Anolis sagrei: one gene and its partners. The protein of the gene in region 1 interacts with the protein of each later gene in a pairwise test. Links are inferred from orthologs where the notes say so. Each region holds a gene or a part of one and is shown in the gene's direction. Other genes may lie near its edges.

Evidence for each region.
Region 2: the proteins of TRAF3IP1 (region 1) and KIF5A interact in a two-hybrid assay, tested with the Homo sapiens proteins (2 studies listed by IntAct). The link is inferred for Anolis sagrei from reciprocal best matches to the Homo sapiens genes TRAF3IP1 and KIF5A.
Region 3: the proteins of TRAF3IP1 (region 1) and FRMD4A interact in a two-hybrid assay, tested with the Homo sapiens proteins (2 studies listed by BioGRID and IntAct). The link is inferred for Anolis sagrei from reciprocal best matches to the Homo sapiens genes TRAF3IP1 and FRMD4A.
Region 4: the proteins of TRAF3IP1 (region 1) and OLFM1 interact in a two-hybrid assay, tested with the Homo sapiens proteins (2 studies listed by BioGRID and IntAct). The link is inferred for Anolis sagrei from reciprocal best matches to the Homo sapiens genes TRAF3IP1 and OLFM1.

Annotation. Positions count from the first base shown.
Region 1 is NC_090021.1:161,923,086-161,930,550, forward strand, and holds the start of TRAF3IP1 (TRAF3-interacting protein 1), read left to right. Parts: upstream 1-4,463; 5' UTR 4,464-4,566; coding exon 4,567-4,689; intron 4,690-5,881; exon of another isoform or gene 5,882-5,957; coding exon of another isoform or gene 5,958-6,071; intron 6,072-7,465.
Region 2 is NC_090022.1:186,121,788-186,129,603, forward strand, and holds the start of KIF5A (kinesin heavy chain), read left to right. Parts: upstream 1-4,814; 5' UTR 4,815-5,161; coding exon 5,162-5,290; intron 5,291-7,816. UniProt on the Homo sapiens protein: Microtubule-dependent motor required for slow axonal transport of neurofilament proteins (NFH, NFM and NFL). Can induce formation of neurite-like membrane protrusions in non-neuronal cells in a ZFYVE27-dependent manner.
Region 3 is NC_090025.1:93,271,257-93,278,887, reverse strand, and holds the start of FRMD4A (FERM domain-containing protein 4A), read left to right. Parts: upstream 1-4,620; 5' UTR 4,621-4,785; coding exon 4,786-5,052; intron 5,053-7,631. UniProt on the Homo sapiens protein: Scaffolding protein that regulates epithelial cell polarity by connecting ARF6 activation with the PAR3 complex. Plays a redundant role with FRMD4B in epithelial polarization. May regulate MAPT secretion by activating ARF6-signaling.
Region 4 is NC_090031.1:4,765,175-4,772,512, reverse strand, and holds the start of OLFM1 (noelin), read left to right. Parts: upstream 1-4,322; 5' UTR 4,323-4,876; coding exon 4,877-5,026; intron 5,027-7,338. UniProt on the Homo sapiens protein: Contributes to the regulation of axonal growth in the embryonic and adult central nervous system by inhibiting interactions between RTN4R and LINGO1. Inhibits RTN4R-mediated axon growth cone collapse.

The DNA of each region.
Region 1 (7,465 bases):
TGCCAGACAAAGAGGTCTCAGCATGAATGTTAAAATCTCCCAGCACCACCAAGCGCTGGGAAACCAGGGCTGAATTAGAGACCACTTCCGCTAGCTCAGACAGGGAAACTACTGGGTCGCGGGGTGGGCGGTACACCAGCAGAAACCCCACACTGTCACGGTTCCCCACCCTCAGGAGGACACACTCGAACCCAGGTGCTTGCGGTACAGCGCAAACTACATTTCCCGAACTACAGTGCTTAGCATCTGAAGGACCCAATGGCACTAGCCATTGAAATGTTTCTTTGATTTTAAATGTAATGTATTGTATATGTATATTGTAAACCACTCCGATCCTTCAGGGGGTGGCGGTATATAAAATTGATAAATAAATAAATAAATCATCATCATCATTTAATTACTTATTAATCGCCCTCCATCCGAGAATGCTCCAAGTGATTTACAGTTAAATTGTAAAAGATAAAATACATACATACAAAAATTAAAATTAACAGAGATCGAATGCTCTAGTAAAAAGCCAGGTCTTAAGTGCGAGAGTAAAAGGCCCTAAGTCACGCATGGCTCTCATGTAGGGCGGCAAGGAATTCCATAAGTCCGGGGCAGAAATAGAAAAAGCCCTGCGCCTGGTCCTTTCCAAATGCACTTCTCTAGGACCCGGTATATAGAGTAAGTCACGTTGGGCTGGTCGTTGCGACCTCCAATGATGGGAGAAGGAGAGGTGGTCCCTAAGGTACGATGGAACCTGGCCATAAAAGATTTTAAAGGTCAGAACTAACATCTTATACAGGCCACGGTACTCAGTTGGAAGCCAATGTAAGTGTTGCAGCACTGGTGTTATATGGCATTTCATGGGCTTTCTTGTGAGTAACCTGGCTGCCGTGTTCTGAACGATACGAAGCTTTCGGGTCGTAGACATCGGAAGGCCAACATACAGGGCGTTGAATAGTCCAGCCTAGACGTGACCGGCATGGATGCCAGAGCCTCGTCAGATAGGTAGGGTGCCAATTGCCTCGCTTGTCGTAGATGGAAAAAGGCCTGTTTGCTGGCAGCAGCAACCTGTGCTTCCATTGTCAGCTGCGAATCCAAAACGACACCCAAGCTCTTAACGGTAGGCGAAGGAGATAGGGCGGCACCATCGAAGGTGGGCAACGGAGGAGTCAGACCTGCCGGGCGGCCATGCCAGAGAATCTCAGTCTTTGCTGGGTTCACCTTCAGTCTGCTAGCACGCAGCCAGTTCGACAGAGCTTCCAGACATAGGGTGAAATTGTCTGGAATTGACGTTGCTCCAGGCTCCAGGCGCAGAAGGAGTTGGATATCGTCTGCATATTGGTAGCAGTCCAGGCCGAAACTCCGAGCCAAACTAGCAAGGGGTCTAACGTAGATGTTGAAGAGGAGAGAGAATAAAATTATTGAATCTGAAAAGAGGACTAAAGTAAGTAATAGTATAAAGCTGTGCTAAGTTGAAGTTCTCAGGTTGTGTGTCATAAAGGCAGACATTCAAAGGGATTGCTGCTGTCACTTCTTGGGGGGATCATTTGTTTTTGTCTAAACTTTTAAAAATCCCCCAAAATCTGTAGATGTGTTAATCTTTCTGAAATTTCTGAGGATCAATGCCTTGGTTATCTTGTGCATTGTATATGAAATTCCAGGAGATAGCTCTTGTAGTTTTTATAAAAGAAAAATTGTTTGTAAAAAGTTCAAAATTTCCCCCAAAATTAGTGAATGAGTGTAATGTTCTTAAACTTGGCAGGCTAACAGTGGAAACTGTGATACAATTAGAGCAAGTTTTATCATGATAGCATTAAAAAAGTTAGTGCAATTAAATCCTTCATCATTTCCGGATCCTCCTCCCGATGTTTTACATTGTCCTATGTCCCAGTGTTTTAAAATGTTATCCTTGAATTTGGCCCTGCCCAGTGAAATCTGTTGTGTTTTAATGTTTGATTTTATATTGTTGTGTCGCTTATTATATTGGTTTTGCATTTTATGTATTTTATTTTTTGGTTTTGTTATGTTTTTGTGTTATATTGTGTGTACTGTACTGATGGGCGTGGCCTCGTGTAAGCCGAACTGAGTCCCCCTGGGGAGGATGGAGCGGGGTATATATAAAGTTTTTATTATGATGATGATGATTATTATTATTATTGAGGAATCTATTCGAAACTAGGGAAGGGGGTTTATATATCTGTGGTTTAGTGTCCAGGGTGGGAGAAAGAACTCTTGTCTTTTTGAGGCAGGTGTGAATGTTGCAATTAGCCACCTTGATTAGCATTTAATGACCCTTTGCAACATTCACACTTGCCTCCAACAGGCAAGTGTTCTTTCTCCCACCCTGGACATTATTTCACAGATAAATAAACATCACTTTCCTAGTTTCCAACAGACCCCACAACCTCTGAGGATGCCTGCCATAGATGTAGACGAAACGTTGGGAGAGAATGCTTCTGGAACATGGCCATACAGACGGGAAAACTCACAGCAAGGCAGTGATTCCAAACATGAAAGCCTTCGACACCATAATTGAAGGCCTATTTGCAATGGCAACCCTCAAGCAACCAGAAGTAAAGACTTCCTGTATATATTTCAGATTTCAATATTGCATTGTCGAAGGCTTTCATGACTTCTCCGAGTAGTCTGATATGGTGGTTGTTAGAGTTAGACTACTCAGAGAAGCCACTGAAATCCACAAGCATGTGGACAATTTCAACAGAAAGGAGGAAAACCATGAAAATGAACAAAATCTGGCTACCAGTATTAAAAAAAACTCTAGAATTACAACAGCAAAACAACACAAGGGAAACTATTTATTGATTTATTTCGTGCATTCCTACCCCGCCCTTCTCAACCCCCGAGGGGGGACTCAGGGCGGCTTACAAAAGGCACAATTCGATGCCAACACAAACAATAAGATAAAACATATATAAACAGCAATTTAAAACAAAACAATCAAACAATTATAACATCAAAATCAATAAAACCAATCTAATGCTCAACGTTCGCCAGCTCAGAGTCCGTAGATTCATTCCACATTGTCAAATCCTATCAATTCTAGTCGTCGATTGTCCTTTGTTTATCTGCCAGATTACCCAAAAGCCTGGTCCCATATCCATGTTTTTAATTTCCTTCTAAAAGAGAGGAGGGATGTTGATGACCTAATTTCCCTGGGGAGTGAATTCCACAGGTGAGGGGCCACCACCGAGAAGGTCCTGCTCCTCGTCCCCACCAACCTCACTTGTGATAGAGGTGGGGCCGAGAGCAGGGCCTCCCCAGAAGATCTTAAACTCCGAGGCGGGACGTAGAGGGAGATATGTTCAGACAGATACGCTGGGCCGGAACCATATAGGGTTTTGTAGGTCTAGACCAGCACTTTGAATTGTGCTCGGAACTGGATTGGCAGCCAGTGGAGCTGACATAACAGAGGGGCGGTATGCTCCCTGTATGACACTCTGGTGAGTAATCTGGCTGCCGCCCGCTGGACTAATTGAAGTTTCCGAACAGTCTTCAAAGGCAACCCCACGTAGAGTGCGTTGCAGTAATCTATGCGGGATGTAACAAGAGCGTAGACCACCATGGCCAGATCAGACTTCCCAAGGTATGGGTGCAACTGGGACATCTAATCACCTCTCAACAATCTGGAACATCTAATCACCTCTCAACAAAAGATTGCCCCAGGCACTGCCAGGCCATCAAATGCTAATCAAGGTGATCAGTTGGAACATTCACACCTAGTTCCAACAGACAAGAGTCCTTTGCCCCACCCTTTTCCTAGTTCCCACAGACCTCACTACCTCTGAAGCTGCTTGCCCTAGATGCAGGCGAAAAGTCAGGAGAGAATGCCTCTAGAAGAACATGGCCATATAGCCCGAAAAAATCTACAACTCATTCACACTTGCCTGCAACAGACAAGTGTTCTTTCTCCCACCCTGGACATTATTGCACAGATAAATAAACTTCGCTTTCCTAGTTTCCAACAGACCCACAACCTCTGAGGATGCCTGCCATAGATGTAGGTGAAACGTCAGGAGAGAATGCTTCTGGGAAAACTCACAGCAAGGCAGCCATGAAAGCCTTCGAAACCACAATCGAAGGCCTGTTTGTAATGGCAACCCTCCAGCAACTAGAAGTCTATATTTCAGATTTCAATATTAATGTCAAAAATACGTGGTATGATTTTACATAGGATTTGTTCTACATTAAAACAGTAAAGACAAATATCACTTAAGCAAAAGAAACATTAAATAACCAGAAAAATAAAACTCCGTGTACCCTGCTGCACCTGGCAGTCCCCGTGGGCGCCGGTCAAGGGAGACTCTCCAAAAGCGATGGCCCTGTTGACAGAGGCCTAGAGAATGCGAGAGGGCGGAGCCGTCCATGACGTCACCATTTCCCTCCCCCTGCGTCCAATCGGGAGGGCGAGGAGGCGGGGCGGACCGCGCGCCGCCCGGTTGCTAGGCTGGCGGAGTTGGGTAGCAACGGCGGCGGAGGAAGGAAGGCAGGCGGGCGGGCGCGGGGCGCGCCGGGAGTTTGCGAGGGGCCTGGTCCGGTCCGGGCAGTCGGGGCGCCGCCATGCAGGGCTCCATGGTGCGGCGGACGCAGGAGCTGCTGGGTCGAGTGATACGGAAGCCGCCCCTCACGGAGCGCCTCCTCAGCAAGCCCCCCTTCCGCTACCTGCACGACGTGATCGGGGAGGTCAGGCCCGAGGAGGGAGGGAGGGAGGGAGGGAGGGAGGGAAGGGGCGCGAGGGGAGGGGGGCTGCGCGCGTGCCCCGTTGCTAGGCGACCAGAGGGAGGCCTTGGCCCTCACAGAATGCAGGCGTTGGGACTGCAAGCCAGGAAGAGGAGTGCCCACAGTCTCCATGCAGTGGAGCAGTGGAGATGGTTATGAAAACGCTCTTGGGTCGTCACTAGTGTAGAAATAGATAAGAGTTTGTTGTTCACAATCACTGTTCATGATTGGGCCAGGGCCTCATAAACCTTCTCCACTCATGACCCCTTTTTGTCCAAGACAGGTTTCTGTGACCCCTTTTAATTATTGACCCGTTTTAATTACAGATTGTCTAACTATGTATTTTAGCAATGGTTGTTTATTTGCTGTCGGGTTCTATTATTATTTGATACTTCACTTCACTTTATTTCTTAATTAGTCGCTCTCCACCAAGGTGCTCCGAGCAACTTACAATCTAAAATAGCAGTTACACAATATAAAAACATTCAACATAACAACATTCAACAGTGACTATTTGGCAAATTAGATCTGATTACTGAAATGCACACTTACTTACTTACTTAGGCGATCCCTCATTGGACGAGTAAGATGGTCTTCCTTGATGACTATTTTTATGGGTTTGTAGGTGGCTGTGGAGCCCTATTCTTGACCTGCATTTTCTCCCACAGTGAAGGCATTGGTTTCCAGGTGGAAGGTGGTCCCGGTCATGGTTGGCTTGACGTGCCTTCCTCCTGGCACATTTCTCTCTTTCACCCTCCACTTGTGCTTCCTCGAATTCTGCAGCACTGCTGGTCACAGCTGACCTCCAGCTGGAGCGGTCAAGGGCCAGGGCTTCCCAGTTCTCAGTGTCTATGCCAGAGATTTTAAGGTTGGCTTTGAGGCCATCTTTAAATCTCTTTTCCTGACCACCAACATTCCGTTTTCTGTTCTTAAGTTCAGAGTAGAGCAACTGCTTTGGGAGACGGTGGTCAGGCATCCGGACAACGTGGCCGGTCCAGCGGAGTTGATGGCAGAGGACCATCGCTTCAATGCTGGTGGTCTTTGCTTCTTCCAGCATGCTGACGTTTGTCCGCTTGTCTTCCCAAGATATTTGCAGGATTTTCCGGAGGCAGCGCTGAAGGAATCGTTCCAGGAGTTGCATGTGACGTCTGTAGACAGTCCACGTTTCGCAGGCATAGAGCTGGGCTGAGAGGACAATAGCTTTATAGACAAGCACCTTGGTATCCCTACGGATGTCCCAGTCCTCAAACACTCTGCTTCATTTGGGAAAATGCTGCACTCGCAGAGCTCAGGCGGTGTTGTATTTCGGTGTCGATGTTGACTTTGGTGGAGAGGTGGCTGCCAAGGTAGCGGAAATGGTCAACATTTTCTAATGCTACACCATTAAGTTGTATCTCTGGCGTTGGCACAACCAAACAGCCAAGTCTTGAGTGCCTTTACAAAAGGTCGCAACTCTGACATTGCTCTAATGTATGGAGACAATGAGTTCCACAGAATTGGAGTATAGGTTGAAAAAGCTCAATGCCTTGTAGCTTCCAGGTGTACCTCCCTAGGGCCCGGTATGTATAGGCAGGGGTGGCTCAACCCATTACGCAAAGTAAGCATTTGCAGTATAGTTGATTTTGCCCAGGGGCGCTCTTGAGGCGCTCTTGGGGGAAAATAGACCATGACATATGCGAGTTGTAGTTACTGGGAGGTATAGTTCACCTACAATCAAAGAGCATTCTGAACTCCACCAATGATGGAATTGAACCAAATATGGCACACAGAACTCTCATGACGAACAGACAATATATATCAGTGATGGGTTGGGGGGGGGGGCAAAGTACTGTTTGCTTACGGTTGAAAATTACCTAGGGCCGCCTCTGTGTATAGGAGATTTTTCTGGGTGGATCGAGGTGACCACTGATGGAGAAAAGGATTGAGGCGGTCCCTAAGATATAAAGGTCCTTGGCCATTTTGAGCTCTAAATGTCAGGATCGGTATCTTGTAAGAGATCCGATGTTCTATTGGTAGCCAATGCAGTTGTTGCAGAATCGGTGTAATATGGGAACTTATAGATGATCCCGCTAGCAGCCTGGCCGCTGCATTTTGGACCATCCAAATCTTCCGGGTTGTTGACTTTGGAAGGCTGGCATATAAGGCGTTGCAATAGTCCAACCTCGTGGTGACTGTTGCGTGGATTACCGTTGCCAATGCTTCTACCAAAAGGTAGGATGCCAATTTCCTTGCCTGGCGAAGATGAAAAAAGGCCTGCTTACTTATGGCAGTGATCTGGGCCTCCATCGTCAGCGATGAGTCCAACACAACCCCAAGGCTTTAAACAGTGGCAGACGGAACCAGAGCTTCCCCATCGAAACCAGGCAGAGACTGGATTAATTCTGGCGGCTGGCCGGGCCAGAGTATCTCAGTTTTTGCAGGATTCACTTTTAGTCTGCTCGCTCGCAGCCAACTCATCACTGCTTCCAAACACAGCCTAAAGTTCTCAGGAATCGCGGTTGTCCCAGGTTCGAGACGCAAGAGTAGCTGGGTATTGTCTGCATACTGGTAGCACCCTGCCATACGTTGCTGTGGCCCAGTCTGGTGATCTGGAAAATAAAGTAATTCGAAAGTGTTGGTTTCTAATATATGTAATTTCTTTATACTTGTGGGTAAACACTATTTCTTGCTGTTTCTTTGTCAGTGTTAATGTGATGGTTATCTGGTTTGCCTACATGTGACATATCATTGTCCTTCTCTA
Region 2 (7,816 bases), on another chromosome or scaffold:
TTTTTTTGTTTTTAACCAATGTATGTATTTATATGTGGCATCTAATTGTGCCAATTTGTATGCTGCCCTAAGTCGCCTTCGGGCTGATATGGGCGGGATAAAAGTAACGTAAATAAATAAATAACGTGAATAAATAAATAAAGGTAAAGGTTTTCCCCTGTCATTAAGTCCAGTTGTGTCCAACTCTAGGGGTTGGTGCTCATCTCCATTTCTAAGCCGAAGAGCCGGAATTGTCTGTAGACGCCTCCAAGGTCATGTGACTGACATGACTGTATGGAGTGCCGTTACCTTACCACAGAAGTGGTACCTATTGATCTACTCACATTTGCATGTTTTCGAACTGCTAGCTTGACAGAAGCTGGAGCTGACAGCGGGTGCTCACGGCGCTCCCCAGATTCAAACCTGTGACCTTTCGGTCAACAAGTTCCGCAGCTCAGTGGTTTAACCTGCTACACCACTGAGGGCTCCATATATGGCAGTGTAGACTCATAGGATTCAGTTAAATGCCATTAATTAGCATTCTGAAAATGTATTATTATGGCAGTGTAGATCCGGTCCCAGACATAATTTTTTAAGCTTCATTCAACTCAACTCATCTGGAAGAAATGAAACTAGTTGGCAAATCATTGCAGCAGCTATGCTCTTGGCTCGCTTAGGGCCTGATGCTAGTGCTACTACCATCCTCCCTAAAAATAACTGCATTTCTGGTATTGTTTTTCCTTCACATGTCAGCTCAATCTGATTGTTCGGTTTTGCTACATCTGTCTAAATGGCTGCTTATTTCCTGGAAGAGTAAGCAGTAATGATGATTAAAAGGTTTACTGTATGCCCATCTTCCAGACTAGAGCATTACTCAGAGGACTGAGAGGCCGAACAAAGAGTGGAGTATCTTGGATTATTGTAATGTATATACCAAGGTGGGTGTGTGGCCAGCTTTCTAAAGGATGATCCTCTCTGAAGGTATCCTCTGTTTGTACACATCCAGTTTAAATATGAAGAACCATTGGAAAGAACAGCTGGAAGGACTAGCAGTTTAAAGTTGCCTACCCACAGTTAACGTTTGGACAACACAGAGGTCACCAGATTGGAGATTTCTCCACTGTGTTGAGATAGCTAAGATTTCTATTGAAGCTTGCATATATACCGGGTGTTGCCTGGATGTCAAAGGGTTTGCTGCCCATCTGCTTTCTCCCTTCTCCAGCTCTGAGAAGACTTACTTCACAATGTCTTCATGGCAATGCTCTGGCAATGGTGGACATATTCTATCTTGCCTTCTTTTCCCTGTTTCCTTCATACACCTTCTTCCTCTCACTTTCCTTTCTCTCATTTCTTCCTTCATCTTTTGCTTTCCCTCAAAAAACCTCCCCCTTCTTCCTTCCCTTCCTTCCTTCCTTCCTTCCTTCCTTTCTCTTCCTTCCTTCCTCTTTCTTTCTTTCTTTCTTCCTTCCTTTCTTTCCTTCCTCCCTTCCTCACTTTCCCAATACATATGTTTCCTAATAGAATCCAAGCTGTTTCACTCCCTTCCTTCCACAGGCCCCTTCCACACAGCTGTATAAAATCCATGTTGAACTGGATTATATGGCAGTGTGGACTCAGATAATCCAGTTCAAAGCAAATATTGTGGATTATCTGCCTTGATATTCTGCGTTATATGGCAGTGTAGATGGGCCCTCAGTGACATCACAGAGGCCACAACACCTAGCAACAGCCAATACTTTGTTCCTTTTCTTTCTTTCTGTACTGAGCCCGAAAGAGATGTGTTTTTAGTTTGAATCCCTCAATTATTTTAAGTTGAATAATAAAGGGTATATGTGCCAAGTTTGATGTAGATCTATTAAGCCACATAGGAGCCTTTGTGGGCCAAATGTGCAAACCAATCATACTTTGACTATATATATAGTGATAATTTTCAAATTTGCATGTTATGCAAACCCATGTCCACTTTGACTCTCTCTTTTTTTTTAATGATCCAATTGTTTTGTTTGTGGCAGTCTGTAAATGGGAGCGAATATGGGTAGAGGTGAGTGCCAATAGCACCAGGAGTGAAAAGGCCAACACCTTAGGCCCCTTCCACACAGCTAAATAAAATCCCACAGGTTCTGCTTTGAACTGGAATATATGGCTGTGTGGAAGGGGCCAACTGATTTCTACACAATATTCCCCCACTTTCCTTGTAACTATATTCTTTCAATAAAAATTTATATATCTATATAAATAAAAATGTAATGTTCGTTTGTGGCATTAACAGAACTCAAAACCTACTGGACAAATTGACACCAAATTTGGACACAAGACACTTAACAACCCAATGTATGTCCTTCATGCAAAAAATATGATTTTGTCTTTTGGGAGTTGTAGTTGCTGGGATTTATAGTTCACCTAAAATCAAAGAGCATTTTGAACCCCACCAACGATGCAATTGAACCAAACTTGGCACACAATTCTCCCATGATCAACAGAAAATACTGGGAGGGTTTGGTGGGCAGTGTCCTTTGGTTTTGGAGTTGTAATTCACCTACATCCAGAGATCACTGTGGACTCAAACAGTGATGGATCTGGACGAAACTTGGCACGAATACTCAATATGCCCAAATATGAACACTGGTGGAGTTTGGGGAAAATAGAATCTTGACATTTGGGAGTTGTAGTTGCTGGGATTTATAGGTCACTACAATCAAAGAGCATTCTGAACACCACCAATGATAGAATTGGGTCAAACCTCCCACACAGAACCCCCATGTGGGCCACAGCAACGCATGGCAGGGGAAAGCTAGTGTGTGTGTGTGTGTGTGTGTGTGTGTGTGTGTATATATATATATATATATATATATATATATATATATATATATAAAGATTTGTTTCTTCACTCATTGTGTGGTGTGTTTTAAAGTCAGAGGGCATTTCCCTGACCTGGAGTGCAACAATGATGAAGAGTTGGAAGCGACTGAACGAATAAACAACAACAACCAAGTTAGGGAAACCTATCACTGGATTTTCCAGGGCTGAAAGCGTATGGCTTGCCCTTGGCCAATTAATAAAGGACATCATGGCATGCCGATTCCTTGTGCCCAAGTTATGCAGCAGCATCCTGATCCTGAAGCCAAGGTGGTGTAACATAGTTAAATTGCCAAACAAGGGGGAGGGTGTGAGGGGGCTGCTAGAGTTGTTTTTAATGGGGGGGGGGAGGATGGGGGTAGTTCTCTGCTCAGCCTTCCCTTACTTACTTTCTTACTTACTTAGGCGGTCCCTCGTTGGCCGAGTAGGATAGTCTTCCAGGATCAGTATTCTTGTGGGTCCGTTATGTGGCTGTGGAGCCCTATTCTTGATCTACGTCTCCTTCCTCAGTGAGGGCATTGGTTTCCAGGTGGAAGGCGGTCTCAGTTGGGGTTGGCTTGACACGCCTTCCTCTTGGCACGTTTCTCTCTTTCACCCTCCATTCGTGCCTCTTCAAATTCTGCAGCACTACTGGTCACAGCTGACCTCCAGCTGGAGCACTCAAGGGCCAGGGCTTCCCAGTTCTCTGTATCCATGCCAGAGTTTTTAAGGTTGGCCTTGAGCCTATCTTGAAATCTCTTTTCCTGTCCACCAACATTCCATTTTCCGTTCTTGAGTTCGGAGTGGAGCAACTGCTTTGGGAGACGGTGGTCGGGTGTCTGGACAATGTGGCCGGTCCAGTGGAGTTGATGGCGGAGGAGCATTGCTTCAATGCTGGTGGTCTTTGTTTCTTCCAACATGCTGACGTTTGTCCGCCTGTCTTTCCAAGGGATTTGCAGGATTTTCCGGAGGCAGCGCTGATGGAATTGTTCCAGGAGTTGCATGTGACGTCTGTAGACAGTCCACGTTTCGCAGGCATATAACAGGGTTGGGAGGACAATAGCTTTATAAACAAGCACCTTGCTTACCTTCAAAGCCCTAAACGGTTTGGGACCGGCCTACCTGCGTGACCGCATTTCCATCTACGAACCCACGCGTTCTCTTCGGTCATCTGGAGAGGCCCTGCTCGTGATCCCACTGGCGTCGCAAGCGCGCTTGGTGGGGACACGGGACAGGGCCTTTTCCGTGGTGGCCCCCCAACTCTGGAACACCCTCCCCAAAGACCTTATACAGGCCCCGTCATTGGCTGTCTTCAGAAAGAACCTAAAAATCTGGCTTTTCCGATGCGCCTTCCCAGATTAGGAAATCTTCACTACTGAGTCCCACAAGCACTTTACCAGAACCAATGATTGCTGCACACCGCACATCGCACTTGCCCTAGAAACCCTTTATACACCTCCTGTCAAACCAGCACTTTTAATTCTTGTACCCACTTTTTGGCCCGGCCCAGTTTTATTGTGTTTTAATGTATTGTGCCTACTGTTTACTTTGCTTTATTTTGTTTTTAATTGTTTGATTTGCTTGATTGTACTGTTATGTTGTGTTGTTGAGGCCTTGGCCTGTGTAAGCCGCATCGAATCCTTTGGGAGATGCTAGCGGGGTACAAATAAAGTTTAATAATATCCCTACGTATGTCCCGGTCCTCAAACACTCTCTGCTTCATTTGGAAAAATGCTGCACTCGCAGAGCTCAGGCGGTGTTGTATTTCGGTGTCCATGTTGACTTTGGTGGAGAGGTGACTGCCAAGGTAGCGGAAATGGTCAACATTTTCTAATGTTACACCATTAAGCTGTATCTCTGGCATTGGAAAGGGGTTGGCTGGTGACTGCTGGAACAGCATTTTGGTTTTCTCAATGTTCAATGACATACCACCTTAAGGCCGAGGAGATGGCTCCTCCTTAAAAGCGGTACCATTGGACCTCTCCTCCAGCCCAGCCCTTTGCCTGCTGCTGCTGCTGCCGGTGTCTGCAGCAGGAGGGGAAGGAGGGAGGAGAGAGATCCAAGCGCCGCAAGCATCAGTTGCAGCAAGAGCACCAGGAGGAGGAGGACTCAGGCAGAGCAGCATCCCGGGAGCAGAGCCTGCAGCAGGAGGAGCGCCAGCCCAGCCCAGAGAGAGCCTCGCCGCTCTGCTGCTGCTGGGGGGTGACAGGCAGGGAACCAGGCTCGCCCATCGCTCGCCCTCCTCTCTCTGCCCTCCTGCGCCTTTCCCCGGGAATCGCACCCCACTCCAAGCCCTCGCCGCCCCTCTTTCTTCCACCCTCGCAAAGGAGAGCCTCCACCCGCCAGCATGACGACGGAAGTCAATGAATGCAGCATCAAAGTGCTCTGTCGCTTCAGGCCCTTGAATCAGTCGGAGATCATCCGGGGGGATAAATTCATCCCGGTTTTCCAAGGCGATGACACCGTCATCATTGGGGTGAGTGAAGGGCGAGGAAGAGGTGGGCCGGTGGGGGTCTCTGGGCCCTTCCACACAGCCCTGTATTATCCCACAATATCAAGGCAGCAAATCCCACCATATCTGCTTTGAACTGGGTGCCCTTCCACACAGCCTTATATCCCAGAATATCAAATCAGGAAATCCCACATTATCAGATATTGTGGGATTTTCTGCCATGATATTCTGGGATATAGGGCTGTGTGGAAGGGCCCTCTGTCTCTGTCGCTTTCTGCATATATAACCCTTTCTCTCCATCCCTCCCTCCTTTTTCCCCCCTCTCTTTCTCTCCACTTCTCCCCACCTTTCTCCCCCATCCTTTTCTCTCTCCCCCTTTTCCCAATCCATCTCTCTCCCCACCTTTCTCTGTGTGGCCCTTCTGCATAGCCATATTAACCCAGAATATCAAGGCCGATAATCCACAGTATCTGCTTTGAACTATCTGAGCCCACACTGTCATATCATCCAGTTCAATGTGGATTTTATACAGCTGTGTGGAAGGGGCCTGTGTACCCACTTCTTTCTCCTTCTTTTTCTCTCTCCACCCCCCTCTCTCTCTGCCTCTTCCCTTTTCTCCCTCTCCCTTTCTCTCTTTCCCACCTTTGCTCTCTCCCTTTTTCTCCCTTTCTCTATTTTCCTCTTTCTCTCTCACCTCTCCCCCCTTTTCTCTCTCAGTTTCCCATTTACCTTCCTTCCTCTTTCCCCTTTTCTCCTTTTCTCCCTTTCTCTCCCTCTCCTTCTTTCCTCCCTCTCTTCCTTTCTCTCTTTCACTCTCTCCATCTCCCCCTTCCTTCCCCCTTTTCTCTTTCCATATTTCTTTTCTCTTTCTCTCCCTCCATCTTCCTCTCTTTCTCCCTCTCTCCATTCCTGTCTTTTCCCCCTTTTCTTCCTCCCTTTCTCTTTCTCTATCCCCCTTTCTCCCTCTCTCCTTTTCTCTCCCTCTTTTTCTCTCTCAATCTCTCTTTTCCCTTTTCTCCCTCTCTCCCTTTCTCTCTTTCAACCCCCCTCTTCTCCCTTTCTCCTTTCTCTCTTTCCCACCTTTTTCTCCCCATCTCTTCCTTCCTTTTTCTCCCTTTCTCCTTTTCTCTTTCTCTCTCCCCGCATTCTCCCTTTCTCCTTTTCTCTTTCCCTCTTTTTCTCTCTCCATCTTTCTCTTCCCTTTTCTCCCTCTCCCCTTTCTCTTTTTCTCTCCCCCTCTCCCCCTTTCCCCCTCTCTCCTTTTCTCTCTTTCCCACCTTTCTCTCTCTCCTTCTCTCTCTTCCCTTTTCTACCTTTCTCTCTTACCCTCTTTCTCCCTCTCTGGGCCCTTCCACACATCCATAATAACTCAGAATATCAAGGCAGATAATCCACAATATCTGCTTTGAACTGGGTTATGAGTCCACACTGCCATATAATCCAGCTCAATGTGAATTTTATACAGCTGTGTGGAAGGGGCCTCTCTCTCCACCTCTCTCTTTCTGTCCACCTCCATCCCTCTCTTCCCACTCTTCCTTTCTGTGTGTGTGTGTTGGGGAAAATTGGGAGGCCTGCTCCCTATGGATTGCTCTTACGCTCCACATCGATCCTCTCCCAAGGCGTCCATTCAGTTCTGTGATCTTGATACAAGCTGCTTGTTTCCTTATGAAACCCCTCAGCTCAACATTCCCCCTCCACCTTTAAGAAATTGTCTTTTCGACTTGAAAATCCATTTGTATAAACATGCTCCACCTATCACTCTCTGAAAACCGGTAGCAGGGAAGGATGCTTGGAGTATCTGCTTCCATTTTTGTGCCATTACTGCCTCCCTCCTTAGCTCTGCAGGCTTGGTCAGCTGGGTGTGGCTAGCTGGGCTGTTGGTTTGGCCACTGGGAAGAAAAGAGCCCTTGGGAGCTGGGAGGGAATCTACAAGCCACTTTCCTTTCTGACTGTCCATCCATCACACGGCCCATATGTTATCTTGCCTTTCCAAACCTTAAGACTCCATCCTTCTAGCAGCTAGTCTGCTTGCGCCTCCTGAGGTTAACATTCCCAAAATGCCCAAAGGTCCCCTGCTTACACACCACCTGTAATTTTTTAAACCCCCCCTGCTCTTATCCATAATCCAGTGAAATATTCCATACTGACTTCCATCTGTGCAGTATAAAGATCAGGGCTAAAATGGTGCAGGTGGCTAGCTAAGGCGCCTGGAGGTTGTTTACTCGGAAATGGCAACGCCCCTGAAGCTTGTCCCTGTGGTCCTTGTGCTTGCCACTTGGTACCGTTCTGGGCTTTCAACCTGCTGATTGTTTGGATTTTCCCGTTGCTAAATCCACCATCTGTCAGAGTAGAAGGAAGGGTGGTAATGCGTTTTTCCCCCAAGGGGATGAACATGGTTATGCTCCCAGTGCCAACTTGCTGGTGCTATGCCCAACAATGGTGCTGACATCTCCTCATGCAACTGTTTTATTGCAGAGAGGGACACGCTGCTGAGTGTGTGGTTGTGAAATGAGTCGGTTATCTGCTTTGTATGGCCGGCCAACTGATGTG
Region 3 (7,631 bases), on another chromosome or scaffold:
GTTGTTCCACCTTCCCTGAAACCCAAGGCCGCTGCATGGACATTCAGAGAGCAGCCAAGGGTCTCAGGAGATGTTTAATGGTAGCTATGACAACTGATTGTATTCCTCCCTCTTGACATCCAAGACCACCATGTAAATTATTTCTTCCCAAACTTCACATCTGTAATCACACAATATATTTGCATAAAATATCATAACATTGACAATTTTACTACCATGACCATTCCTAATTATAATCTAACATGGAATTCATCTGTTTCACAGCTGCCAGCCTCTATCCATCATGATGTCAAGATTTCATTCCTAGTCACGCACCACTTCCACTGATATTTCGAACAATACGCAGTTTCCCAGAGTCACACTGGATAACAACTTGTTGACAGTCTGTAGGGAGGAATATTTCTAAGAATGGTTCTTTCTTATCTTGTTATGGAGAGATTAATTAGAAGGGTCAGTGACTACTCATACTTTCCCAGGGTCATAAAGTACTTTTATGTACAGAGAATGCTTAGACTGGTAGTATCTCTTGTTAATAACAATTCTAATCCCAGGTATGTTACTTTGTCTCCAGCCCAGTGGCTTTCAATATTTCCAGAATGAAAACACAAACTATAATAAATCACAAATCATAGGATGAACCTAAATAGACCATATACTTGTTTTAGTTGTGAATACGTCATCAGTTTGGAGAGAAGGAGAAGTTACCCTGTTTCATGTATTGACATCATTTCTCGTGAATTCCTGTTTCTGTCTCTCGGTTGCACATTTCTTGTATCGGTTTTCTTAAATGGAGAGTGGCACTAGGATCTCAACAGCAATGGGTCACAATGGGAAGGGGAGAAAACAGCAGAGAAGAGAGGAAATGGGAAAGTGCTTGCTTTTCAATGGCTCCCAGTTGTTGTTTTTTGGAAGCTCTCTGTATTATAATCCAATATATGTCTATTCTACTGCACCATGGCCCACTTTAATATGGTTGCAGATGGTGACAGCCTCTTATCTCTTATCCCTTCGTGCAGTGCAATCCAATACATATCTATATAGAGTGCCCTCTAATGACTGCAGTGAAATTTATTTTATTCTGTACTCTGAAAGTATCCCTTCTGCTGGATCTGAGACGGTGGGCAAGCAAGGAAGCTGCTGCTTACACATGTTGGCTCCCATGGGATAAAAGACAGCACAAGTGCATATCTGTCAGAAAATGTGGCCTTTTCTGGACAAGAATGTGGACAGAAAAAATATTAAGGTCTGGATTCTTTAGAAGTAAATGTGTTTAAAGCAAAAAAAGTTACTTTTCAGGCTACTAGTTGTAGACTATGGGAGTGGTAGCTGATAGTTACTGAAGGATGCTTCCATAATGTGAATTTAAAGGGGAAATGACATAGCTTCTGTCCTTGCCCCCTCTATTTCTGCCACTACCCACTTCTCCCTCTTCCTCTCTACTCTTTGATCTGTCAGCAGCAGAAAATTCCAGAATTCTGAACTGATTGTTTCCAGGGCCTTTCAAAATTAGACAAAGAGCTCCATTAAACCTTGGGTTAGGCAGATGATAGTTGGACCATCTGAAGTTCTCACATGGCATTATCTCAAGGGATATTCAATGTTCAATGGCAGTATATCTCTTTAGTGCCAAACAGAAGAGCTAAATGTCAGAGGATGCCTGTTAGCATCACAGCATGACCTGTCTGCTTAACATTCTGAAAATCTTTTGACTATATAGGGGATAGATGCAAACAGCGGCTCCCAACCTTGAAATCTCAAATGTTGGACTTCACCTCCCAAAGGTTTAGTAAGGGATTCAGGGAGTAGCATTCAACATCTGGATAACCAAAAGTGAAACCCACTGGACCAGGTAGATATGATCCATCAAGGAATTTCTCATATCCTTCTGACAGAAATGAATATCAGATATGACTTCTAGGAGATTTCTGGGGGGTTTGTTTTCCTGGCAGCAAGGATAAAGCATGAAAATGCCATTATCTGCTCATGTGGAATGAATATTCATACACAATTTTTCAGTGAAATTCAATCACACACTACCATAGCTATTTTAAAGAAGATCAAAGGCAGAAAGATTTGAATGAAAGTTTAGATCTTTCAAAAGGAACCTGTGGTTTAGAGCTATAGGAATAAAAAACAAGACGAGTCTAGCATATCTATATCAGCAAAACTGAACATTTCAAGTATCTTTCCCAAATCTCTAGCCATAAAGAGCTACTTGAAAGTAATGTGAGTGGGAGCCATGCTGCTCTCTAACTAGAAAACTATTGCTCAGAAGTTGGGAAAATAGAGAGATACACAAATCTAATAATTGTGTTTAATTGTCTGGGGAGCTATAGTACAAAAGCTCAGGATTTCTTTCTGTAACACCATTCTTCCTGTCCACATGTTCATGTCCATGTGTTGCTCTCCCCCAAGTTTCACATGAAAAAGGAGAAATTTCAAAAACACAGTAGAAGAGCCATCCAATAAAAAATATGAAAAGAAGAAGATCCAAGAACACACATATACTTGTTAGAAGAAGACACAGGTCCTATAACCACCTGTAGCTTTCCCTGGAGAGCTTGAGAAGTTGGCTTTCTTGAACTCCTCATTAAAAAGGATTAATCATTTAGAAAAACCCAACAAAAGATGGGCCTCAACCTGCTCCTAAAAAGCAGCCACTTACCTGAGAATAATAGTTTGACTAAACTGTTTGTACTGAACTAGAATAAGGCTTTGTGACACAACTGAATAAGTGACGTGACACCGTATTGTCGAAGGCTTTCATGGCTGGAATCACTAGGTTCTTGTGGGTTTTTTTTTTTTTTTGGGCTATAGGGCCATGTTCTAGAGGCATTTCTCCTGATGTTTCGCCTGCATCTATGGCAAGCATCCTCAGAGGTAGTGAGGTCTGACGTGACACTATTTCCCCTTACCCTTCGGATTCCTTTCAGTTTTCAGATGGTCCTTGAACAATATTATTCTGTAAACTGTTACATAGTAATAAGTGGGTCCTTTTTATATTCTCTGTCCTTCCAGCTCCTTTTCACACATCCCAAGAAAGCCTTCAAACCATGATTGGGATATCTTAGTGTATTTGCATTTTAATAAGTCCAATTAAATTCAATAGGGCTTGTTTGTGGGTAGAAGTACATGGTAAGGGTTATTCTGTCCATCTGCTTACCCAAGACAGTTTGTTGCTCAAATCAGAACAGCAAAAGGGGTCTGCTATTCATCCTAAGTGGAAGTGCTTAATACTTCAAACCAGGCAAATTATGTTTGCACATGACTTCCACAAGTACCTCTCTACATTGTTAGCAATAAAAAAACAGTAATGTCAAAGCAAACAATTTTCTATCATATAACAAAAGTTAATCATGGCAGAGACAACCCACCCAGTACAACTTCCCATTATCTATTAAGAAACTAGCTGTACCCGCCACGCGTTGCTGTGGCCACCCTTCCCTATCTCTTTCTCTCCTTTCTTTCCTTCCTTCTTTCCCTTTTTTCCTTTCCTTCTCTCCTTCTTCCCTTCTCTACCTATCTTGGACTGCAACTCCCAGCAGTCCTCCTACCTACCTATCTCTATCTAATCTATCTATCGGGATGATTGCTGGGAGCTGCAGTCCAGGAATAGGAAATTGGAAATATACAGGGATTGGGATGCTCTCAAAGAAATCCAAGGAGAAGAAAGCTTGCATCTAGGAAGCAGTACATTTGGACCATCCTCCTCTCCTGAACGGCCTGGTCTAGGGGATACTGGGAGCTGTAGTGCGAAAGAATGTGTGGATATGCTATTGTGTGTGTTTGGTTTTTTGTTGGGGTTTTTTTGGCCCGGGAGTTATTTTTGCACATGCACTGTAGCATCTTTTTGCTTTTTTGGCTTTTTAAGTCCCTTCCTCTGTGTTTTTCAGTGTTATTGTGAGTTATCATCATTCATTGGCCTGATAGGTGGATTGTGTCCAAATTTGGTGTCAATTCGTCAAGTGGTTTTTGAATTATGTTAATCCCACAAGCGAACATTACATTATTATTTATATAGATATGCTGTAGCACTTTGTTTCTATTATGGATACATCATCAAGAACCTGCACCCTTGGGTTTTCTCCCAATCAACTGGCCTTTTTGATAGAACTATGTAGAACCTTTTTTACATTTGTTTGTGGAAATAGTCACTTTTTTAGGAACACACTAGTTCACCTGCTATGAAATCTTACCAAGTGAAAGCTATTCCTATTTTCTTTCTCAGTAAGTCTAATGTGCTCTTAATAATGGCAAGACTAGGAGAAATGGCAAAGCCTAACTTAGATGACAGTTCCACCACAAAACTACAATAACTATCATGATACATGTAATAATAATAGCATGATGCACATATTCTACAATGTGCTACAAAACTAGTCTCCTGTGGTTGCACTTTGCACCTTCAAGAGTTAAGCGGGAAAATGGAATGTCTTGAGAATGTTGGCAGAGAAGCAGAGAGAGAGAAAGAGAGAGACAGAAAAGGCGTTTGTTTTCCATCCTCTCTGGAAGAAATCCCGGTACTTTGGAGGCTAAAGTGATGATTCTTAGTTTAAGTTTGTTTCTTAGTGCCTTTGCTTGGGGCTGAACAAAGAGAAGGAACCTGCCCAGGACACCCCAACTTATTCAGAAAGAAGGGGCAATTTCCAAATCTCTTTGCAGAGTATATTTCTGAATGTCCCTGTTGGATCTGGCAGTGGAGAACCTGGGAAAATAATTCCCTCTGAAGAGCAACTCCCACCAAAATGGGTTGCTTTGGCTTCAGCTTTCTCCATTTTTTATTTCATGGAAAATTACTTTGACATTTTAACCTTGACGTTTTTTAAAGACTTTTTAAAAATCAGCAAACCACACAGGAATACCAGTGCTAGACCTTTCGACTTGCTGCTTGGCATGGCCGCTGTACTTTTAAGGGTTGAAGACTTGATTTACAGTTGGGATAGCCTAGTGTGGAACCTGACTACGCGGGTCCTGGGGACTTGCCGGTTCAGAAATCTGCAGGTCGTACGGCTAATGCTTAAACCATGGTGCATCTCCAGAGCTGTGTATCAGGTAGAGTAACATTATTTAAATATATGGTGGTGAAAGATGTGGGAAGAGATTATCCCTAGGTCATTTGGAAGAAAGTATCTAGATACCTCGATCAGCAATTATCCTTGTCTTCTTTGGTAATAATTCTTAAAGTTTCTTGTGCAGAGGTCTAGTATTCTAACTGTTATTTAATGTAAGACAGGCTAAACAATCCAACATTTTAAGTTCCATAAAACTCCTGGATAGACCACTTGGGTTACCTATTTCTGGGAGTATATCTCTAAACATTTGGGTTACCTAACTCTGAATAACTAAGATGCCAAATTTTCAATATGTTTATTTAGTTATTTTCTGTATTACCAGTTCTTTAAAGTAATGTCAGCATTTATTTATTTATTTATTTATTTATTTTAGATACTTTTGAGCTAGTCTTTAGTACCTGTCCAGGGATGACCTAGCTATGGTGATCCAGGCCACAGTCATCTCAAGACTGGACTACTGTAACGCCCTCTACATTGGCCTTCCTCTGTCGGTGATCCGGAAGCTCAAGTTGGTACAAAATGCAGCTGCTTGGCTTCTTGCGGGAATTCTGATGAGATGCCACATAACACCAATCTTACTACAGCTGCATTGGTTACCAATTGAGCACCGGATCACTTTCAAAGTGATGGTACTCACCTGTAAGGCCTTGCATGGTCTGGGGCCGATGTACCTGAGGGACCGCCTCACCCCCTACCAACCCCAGAGATCCCTCCGTTCTGAGGACCAAGATCTATTGGAAGTCCCCAGTGTCAAGACCTTGCGTCTAACAGCAACCAGATGCAGAGCCTTCACAGCAGTGGCACCATCACTCTGGAATACTCTGCCACCTGAAGTCCGTGCCTTGCGGGACTTACCAGCTTTCCGCAGGGCATGTAAGACATACCTGTTTTGACAGGCTTTTAATGCTTGATATTGCTGTTTTTAAATTGTTTTAAATTGCTTTTAAATTTGTTAGATTTTAGCCATTTTTGTAAGCCGCTCCAAGCCCCAGGGGAGTGGCGGCACATAAGTTCAAATAATAAAATAAAATAATAAATAAATAAATAAAGTTTACAGAGCCAAAGGGCTCAGAACAGAAGGGCAAAAGCAAGCTTTGGGGGTATAGTCTGAGTTGCAGAATTCCAACTTGCTGGAATAAAAATATGGTAGTTCAAGAAAAGGAGAGCCATCTTTTCCATCATTATTAATTACATTATCCTTATTAACAGATAGATCGGCTGAATTTGTTTCCTGCTGCCTTGTTATTAGTAATGCTTCTTACGGCCCATTTAATCTCACTCCTCAGGATGTCCGGTTCTAATTCACTCACCACACCGTCAAAGCTATCCTCGATATTATTATCCCTCCTGTACAGATCTTCTGTACAATCTTGCCACCTTCTCTTGATCTCTTCAGCTTCTGTTAGGCCTTGCCATCTTTGTTTTTGATCATACCCATTTTTACCCGAAATTTACCTCCGATATTTCTAATTTTCTGGAAGAGATTTCTTGTCCTTCCTATACTATTGTCTTCTTCCACTTCCATACATTTCTTGTTTAAAAATAGTTCCTTATCTCTTCTGGCAAACTTCTGAAATTGTGTATTTAATTAGGCATATCTCCCTCTATCACTATTCCTTTTGTTTTCCTTTTTTTCTTGGGCTACTTCCAGTGTCTCAGCAGGCAACCATCTTGCCTTCTTGGTTTTCTTTTTCTTTGGGACATACTTTGTTGCTATCTTCTGAACAAAGAAAGTCCTAGGTTGACATTATTTCTGAAATGTAGATGGAACAAGCCATACATATTTTGAAATGCTGATGTGATACACAGGAAGTACCAAAATATTTTTTTGCTAGAAGCAGAAGCCAAATGGCACCTAGTACTTTCTGCTAGGAGTATTATTATTTTTTACAGTCTTGGTGCATATTATTTCTTGTTGAGTATTATCTGTCTTTGTTTACTCCATTGGGCTACTAAGGCAGGCAGGGGCTTCTTGCTAGAATTGGATATTTGTGTAGAAAAAGGTGAGCAAATGGAGCCAGTTTCAAAGAAGTATGTTTGATTTGTAAAGGGTGAAAGTGGCAGTCTCTTTTATTAGCCATGCACAAACTTTTGCCAAGGTGTCTTTCGGTGCCATGTGTTTCCATTAGGCTTCTCCTTTCTTTTTCAGTGGCCAATCAGCGGCAGGGGCTGCAACCTGGCAAATGAAATTGCTATTGCTCTCTTCGACCTCTTCTGTAATGCCTCGCAGCCCTCCCACCCCCAACTCAGCTACTGATCATTTACAACCTGCCCACAATAATCCAAATACTAGCAACAATTACACAACAAAAAGATTACATAACATAGATTCTGGATCTTCTGTTTTGGCATTTCCTGTACCTGTTTCAACCCATTTTCAATTTTAGGAAAACATCATTATTTCTCCCTCTTACTATAACATGGCTTTTGGAAGAGTTGGAAAGATTTTTCAAAGTTTTCATGCATTTCTGTAAGAGACACAAAAATGAAAGTTGTGTAACATTTCCTCACTGGATGGACTAGTAATATTAGTAGCATTGAATAAGTTGTCTTTGTGAT
Region 4 (7,338 bases), on another chromosome or scaffold:
TTATTTATTTATGTATTTATTTATATTGCATTCTTTCTGCCCCGTTTGCTGCTTAAAGTCCTATTATTATTATTATTACTATTATTATTATTACTATTATTATTATTATTATTATTATTATTATTCGATACACAACACAGCATTGCTTGTTGCGGTTTGCTTTTTTTGCAAAGTTGGTTTTGGGAAAACAGAGCAAGGGTTTGCATTATTTATGTATTTATTTATTTATATTGCATTCTTTCTGCCCCGTTTGCTGCTTAAAGTCCTATTATTATTATTATTATTATTATTATTATTATTATTATTATTTATACAACACAGTGTTGCTTGTTGTGATTTGCATTTTTGCAAAGTTAATTTTGGGAAAACAGAGCAAGGGTTTGCATTATTTATTTATGTATTTATTTATATTGCATTCTTTCTGCCCCGTTTGCTGCTTAAAGTCCTATTATTATTATTATTACTATTATTATTATTACTATTATTATTATTATTATTATTATTATTATTATTCGATACACAACACAGCATTGCTTGTTGCGGTTTGCTTTTTTTGCAAATTTAGCTTTGGGAAAACAGAGCAAGGGTTTGCATTATTTATTTATGCATTTATTTATATTGCCTTCTTTCAGCCCTGTTTGCTCCTTAAAGTCCTATTATTATTATTATTATTATTATTATTATTATTATTACTATTATTATTATTCGATACACAACATGGATGTTGCTTGTTGTGGTTTGCTTTGGCTTTGGGAAAACAGAGCAAGAGTTTGCATTATTTATTTATGTATTTATTTATATTGCATTCTTTCAGCCCTGTTTGCTGTTTAAAGTCCTATTATTATTATTATTATTATTATTATTATTATTCAATACACAACGTGGTGTTGCTTGTTGTTTGCATTTTTGCAAAGTTGGTTTTGGGAAAACAGAGCAAGGGTTTGCATTATTTATTTATGTATTTATTTATATTGCATTCTTTCAGCCCTGTTTGCTTAAATTCCTATTATTATTATTATTATTATTATTATTAGATACACAACGTGGTGTTGCTTGTTGTTGTTTGCATTTTTTGCAAAGTTAATTTTGGGAAAACAGAGCAAGGGTTTCCCTTATTTATTTATTTATGTATTTATTTATATTGCATTCTTTCAGCCCTGTTTGCTGCTTGGAGTCCTATTATTATTATTATTATTATTATTATTATTATTATTAATTGCTTGTTGTGGTTTGCATTTTTGCAAAGTTGGTTTTGGGGAAAACAGAGCAAGGGTTTGCATTATTTATGTATGTATTTATTTATATTGCATTTTTCAGCTCTGTTTGCTGCTATTATTATTATTATTATATTATTATTATTATTATTCGATACACAACACGGTGTTGCTTGTTGTGGTTTGCATTTTTGCAAATTTGGCTTTGGGAAAGCAGAGCAAGGGTTTGCATTATTTATTTATGTATTTATTTTAGCCCTGTTTTCTGATTAAATTATTATTATTGATATTATTATTATTATTATTATTATTATTATTATTATTATTATTATTGGCTTTTGCATTCGATCACACATCGGACATTTTCCACATCACAAGGACAGTGTGATGTATCGGTGAAAAATCCAAGTCGGGTGGCCTTTTGTAGCTGACAGGTGGTGATTTTGTCAGCACTAATTGTTTTTAAGTGCAGGCCAGGGTCTTTAGGCACTGTACCCTGTGTGCCAATCACCACTGGGACCACCTTGACTGGCTTGTGCCAGAGTCTTTGCAGTTCGATACCATGGCTCAGTGCTGTGGAATCATGGGAGTTGTAGTTTGGACAAGACACCAAGAGTTCACCATATTGGTCCAGTTTCTTCTTTCTCTCTTCTTTCTCTTTGCAAAAGGAATGTCCCCATCTTCCCTCCCTCCATCCTTCTCTTTCTTTTGCTTCCTCCATTCTTCCCTTCACTTTGTCCTCTCCTTCCTTTGCTCTCTTCTTCTCTTTCCTTCCTCTCTGTCTTCTTTCTCTCTTTGGAGCATTGCAGAATGGATCCTTCTTTTCCCTCTTTCCCTCTTTAGTTCCCACCTTCCATCCTTTCCTTCCATTCATCCCTCTCTGGAGCTTTACAAAAAGGATCTTTCCATTTTCTATCCTTTCCTTCCCCTTTTTTTCTTCCCTTCCTTCCTTCCTTCCTTCTTTCCTTCATCTGCATCTGTATTGCCAAATGAATGCAGTTTGCCACCCCTCCTTTCTTTTTTCCTCTCTTTCCCTCCCTCCCTCCCTCCTTCCTTCCTTTCTTCTTTTCTATCCCCTCTTTCTTTTCCTTCCCTTTCTCCTTCCCTTTCTTGTTTCCCTCCGGTTTCTCCTTCCTCTTCCTTTCTTTTCTCCTTCTCTTTCTCCTTCCTTCCTTCCTTCCTTCCTTCCTTCCTTCCTTCCTTCCTTCCTTTCTTCTCCTTTCTTCTTTTCCCTCCCTTCTTTCTTTTCCTTCCCGCCCTTCCCTCGTAACTTCCTTCCTTCTTTTTCCTTCCCTTCCCTGGAGCTGTACAAAAGGAATCCCTCTTTTCCCTTCCCTTTGTCTTTTCCTTCTCTTCCTTCCTTCCTCTGTCCTTTCATTCCCTTCACTTTCTCCTTTCTTTCTTTCTTTCTTTCTTTCTTCCTTCCTTCCTTCCTTCCTTTCTCCTCCTCCTCTTCCCTTTTCTCCCCTCTTTCTCTCCTTCCTTCCTTTCTTCCTTCCTTCCTCCCCTTTCTTATTTTCCCTCCTCTCTTTCTTTTCTTCTCCTCCTCCCCTTCCCTTTTTCCTCTCCTTCTCCCCTGCCTCCTTCCTTTCTTCCTTCCTTCTCCTTTCTTCTTTTTCCTCCCCTTTCTTTTCCTTCCCTCCCTCCCTCCTTCTTTCTTTTCCCTGAAGCTTTACATAAGGAATCACACCCACTCCTTTCCTTCTCCTCCTTCCTTCCTCTGTCCTTTCATTCCCTTCACTTTCTCCTTCTTTTCTTCTTCTTCCTTCCTTCCTTCCCCTTTCTTCTTTTCCCTCCCCCTTTCTCTCCTTCCCTTTCCCCTTCCTTCCTTCCTTCCTTCCTTCCTTCCTTCCTTCCTTTCTTCTTTTCCCTTCCCTTGCTCCTTTCCTTCTCCTCCTTCCTTCCTCTGTCCCTTTCATTCCCTTCACTTTCTCCTTCTTTTCTTCTTCTTCCTTCCTTCCTTCCCCTTTCTTCTTTTCCCTCCCCCTTTCTCTCCTTCCCTTTCCCCTTCCTTCCTTCCTTCCTTCCTTCCTTCCTTTCTTCTTTTCCCTTCCCTTGCTCCTTTCCTTCTCCTCCTTCCTTCCTCTGTCCTTTCATTCCCTTCACTTTCTCCTTCCTTTCTTCCTTCCATCCTTTTCTTCCCCTTTCTTGTTTTCCCTCCTCTCTTTCTTTCCTTCCCTTCCTTCCTTCCCTTTTCTTCTTATCTCTTCCCTTCCCTTACTCCTTTCCTTCTCCTCCTTTCTTCTTGTCCCTTTCATTCCTTTCATTTTCTCCTTCCTTCCTTTCTTCTTTCCTTCCTCCCCTTTCTTCTTTTCCCTTCCCTTGCTCCTTTCCTTCTCCTCCTTTCTTCCTGTCCCTTTCATTCCTTTCATTTTCTCCTTCCTTCCTTCTTTCTGTTCCTTCCCTCCTTCTTTCCTTCCTCCTCTTTCTTTTCTCTTCCCCCTTTCTTTCCTTCCCTTTCCCCTTCCCTTCCTTCCGTCCTTCCTTCCTTCCTTCCTTCCTTCCTTCCTTCCTTCCTTCCTCCCCTTTCTTCTTTTCCCTTCCCTTGCTCCTTTCTTTCTCCTTCCTTCCTCTGTCCCTTCCCTTCAGTTCTTCTCTTCCATTCCCTCCCCACTCTTTGCCCTTCTCTCTCTGGAGGTTTGCACACACACACACACACACACACACACACACACACACAAATCCTTCCTTATGGGAACTTCAGGAGATCAATCCTGCCCTCCCTCTTCTTCCCTCTCCTTCTCTCCCTCCTTTTTCCCTCTTCCACCTTCCCTTCTCTTCTTCTCTTCCATTCCTTCCCCACTCTTTGCCTTTCTCTTTCTTGCACACATTCTCTTCCACACACACACACACAAATCCTTCCTTATGGGAACTTCAGGAGATCCATCCTGCCCTCCCTCTTCTTCCCTCCCCTTCTCTCCTCCTTTTTCTTTCCCTTCCACCTTCCTCCCTTTCCCTCCACCAGAGGGAAGCCAAACGCCAAGAGTGGAGGCTGGAAAGAAGGGAGAGGAGGAGTGTTGGGGGGCCCCTCCTTTTCTGTATCCCAGAGTGGCCCCGCCCACTCTGACGTCAGAATGCGCTTTCTGGGGGCCCCTCCCTCCCCTCCCGCCCCCTTTGGCTCAGTCCTCGCCCGGCCAAGCCTTTGCAAGGAAGGCAAGAGAGAAGCAGCTGGTGGGGGAAAGGGAGAAGAGGAAGAAGGAGGAAGAAGAAGGCTGGGGAGGGGGAGAGCCAGCCAAAGCATTGCAGAACCCTCCTCTGATTGACTTGTTGTGGAGAGCTGCTCTCCACTCAGCAAAGGATTGGCAGGAGCTGTCCATTTCAGCACCACTCCGCGCAGCCTTGGAGCTGTCCATTCAGCACCAGGATCTCTCCTGCGCGCAGCCTTGGAGCTCTCCCTTTCAGTACCGGGAGCTCCCTCTCTGCTTTCCGCCTTGCCGGGATGGGGCGGGATGGCCTCCTCTCCGGTGCCGCCTCCGCCCAGGATGCCGGGGCCGAGGCGCAGGGCATCCCGGCTGCCGCGCTCAGGGAACCCGGCTCAGAATGAAGACGGAGGAGGATCAGGAGGAGGTAGCGGCCGGAGTGCCTGAGCGGCGGAGGCGGCGGAGGAAGGGGGTCGGAAAGGGAGGCGGCGGCAGCGGCAACGGTGGCCCCCCAGCGCCACCATGTCGGTGCCCTTGCTGAAGATCGGCGTGGTCCTCAGCACCATGGCCATGATCACCAACTGGATGTCCCAGACCTTGCCCTCCTTGGTGGGGCTCAACACCACCAAGCTCACCGCCGCGTCCGGGGGCACCTTGGATCGGAGTACCGGAGTGAGTGTCGGGCGTGGGAGGGGCTGCGTGGGAGGGGCCTCACGGGTGTGGACCTCACAGGCACCCATCGTTTGTGGCCAACTGAGTCCAGAATTCTCAGCTGAGGGACCTCAAGGGTGACTTAACCTTTTGTGGGGTTTGTGGTGGATTTTGGTGGATTCCTTGGGGATTGTGATCTTGCAGAGGTGAGCGTCCAACAGGGAGGTTCTTGGTGGTCAAGCAAGTCCAGAATTCTCGGCTTAGGGATCTCAAGGGATGAATGAGCTCGGTAGCCTTAACCAACAGGGAGGTTCTTGGTGGTCTTCCCAAAATCTCCAGGACCTCAAGGGAGGGTAGAGGTTGGAACCAAGTTATGGAAGAGAAGTGGGTATGGACCTCACAGGCACCCATTGCGGGTTGTGGTCAAGCAAGTCCAGAATTCTCAGCTGAGGGACCTCAAAGGATGAATGAGCTCGGTGCCTTAACCTTTTGTGGGGTTTGTGGTGGATCATTTGTGGTCAAACGAGTCCAGAATTCTCGGCTGAGGGACCTCAAGTGATGAATGAGCGAGGTGCCTTAACCTTTTGTGGGGCTTGTGGTGGATTCCTTGGGGATTGTGATCTTGCAGAGGTGAGCATCCAACAGGGGAGGTTCTTGGTGGTCTTCCCAAAATCTCCAGGATCTCAGGGAAGGGTAGAGGTTGGGACCAAGTTATGGAAGAGAAGTGGGTATGGACCTCACGGGCACCCATTGCTGGTTGTGGCCAAGCAAGTCCAGATTTCTCGGCTTAGGGACCTCAAGGAATGAATGAGCTTGGTGCCTTAACCTTTTGTGGGGTTTGTGGTGGATTCCGTGGGGATTGTGATCTTGCAGAGGTGAGCGTCCAACAGGGAGGTTCTTGTTGGTCTTCCCAAAATCTCCAGAACCTCAGGGGAGGGTAGAAGTTGGGACCACGTTATGGAAGGGAAGTGGGTATGGACCTCACGGGCACCCATTGCTGGTTGTGGTCAAGCAAGTCCAGAATTCTCAGCTTAGGGACCTTGTGGTGGATTCCAACAGATGGAAACCATGATGGTCTTCCCAACATCTCCAGGACCTCAGGGGAGGGTAAGGCTGGGACCAAGTTATGGAAGAGAGGTGGGCATGGACCTCACGGGCACCCATTGCTAGTTGTGGTCAAGCAAGTCCAGAAATCTTAGCTGAAGAACCTCAAGGGATGAATAAGCTCGGTGCCTTAACCTTTTTTGGGGTTTGTGGTGGATTCCTTGGGGATCATGATCTTGCAGAGGTGAGCATCCAACAGATGCAAATCAGGATGGTCTTCCCAACATCCCCAGGACCTCAGGAGAGGGTAGAGGTTGGGACCAAGTTATGGAAGAGAAGTGGGCATGGACCTCACGGGTACCCATTGCCGGTTGTGGTCAAACAAGTCCAGAATTCTTGGCTGAGGAGCCTCAAGAGATGAAGGATCTTGGTGCCTTAACCTTTTGGGGTGTTGGGGGCTGATTCCTTGGGGATTGTGATCTTGTGGAGGCAAGCGTCCACCTGATGCAAATCAGGATGGTCGTCTCCAACATCTCCAGGACCACAGGGGAGAGTACAGGTTGGGACCAAGGTATGGAAGAAAGGCAGGTTCCTCTTCTTAACATCTCCTGGACCTCAGAGGAGGGTACACGTTGGGACCAAGGTATGGAAGAGAGTTGGGTTCATTGTCCATCCTCCTGGACCCGAGGAACCTCGATGTGATAGGTATCTCAAGTTCCTCACCTTTGGGGAGGTGATGGCAAATCCCATTGGGATTCTGACCAAAGATATGGAACCTAGAAAGATAGTCATGGAAGGAAGGATTATCAACTAGATGCAACTCAGAGAGGTTCTTGATGGTCTCCCCAACATCTCCAGAACCTCAGGAGATGGTCTAAGATAGCTTTGGGATTCTGACCAAAGGTATGGAGCCTAGAAAAACAGTCATGGAAGTCAGATGATGGAAGTCAGATGACTTCTTGATGGTCTCCCCAACATCTCCAGAACCTCAGAAGATGGTCTAAGATAGCTTTGGGATTCTTATCACAGCTATGGAAACTAGAAAGTCATTGCAGATCCCATTGGGATTCTGACCAAAGGTATGGAGCCTAGAAAGACAGTCATGGAAGGATCACCAACTAGATGGAACTCAGCTTGGTTCTTGGTAGTCTCCTCAACCTCTCCAGAACCTCAGGAGATGGTCTAAGTTAGCTTTGGGATTCTTACCAAAGCTATGGAAGCTAGAAAGTCACTGCAGATCCCATTGGGATTCTGACCAACGGTATGGAGCCTAGAAAGACAGTTATGGA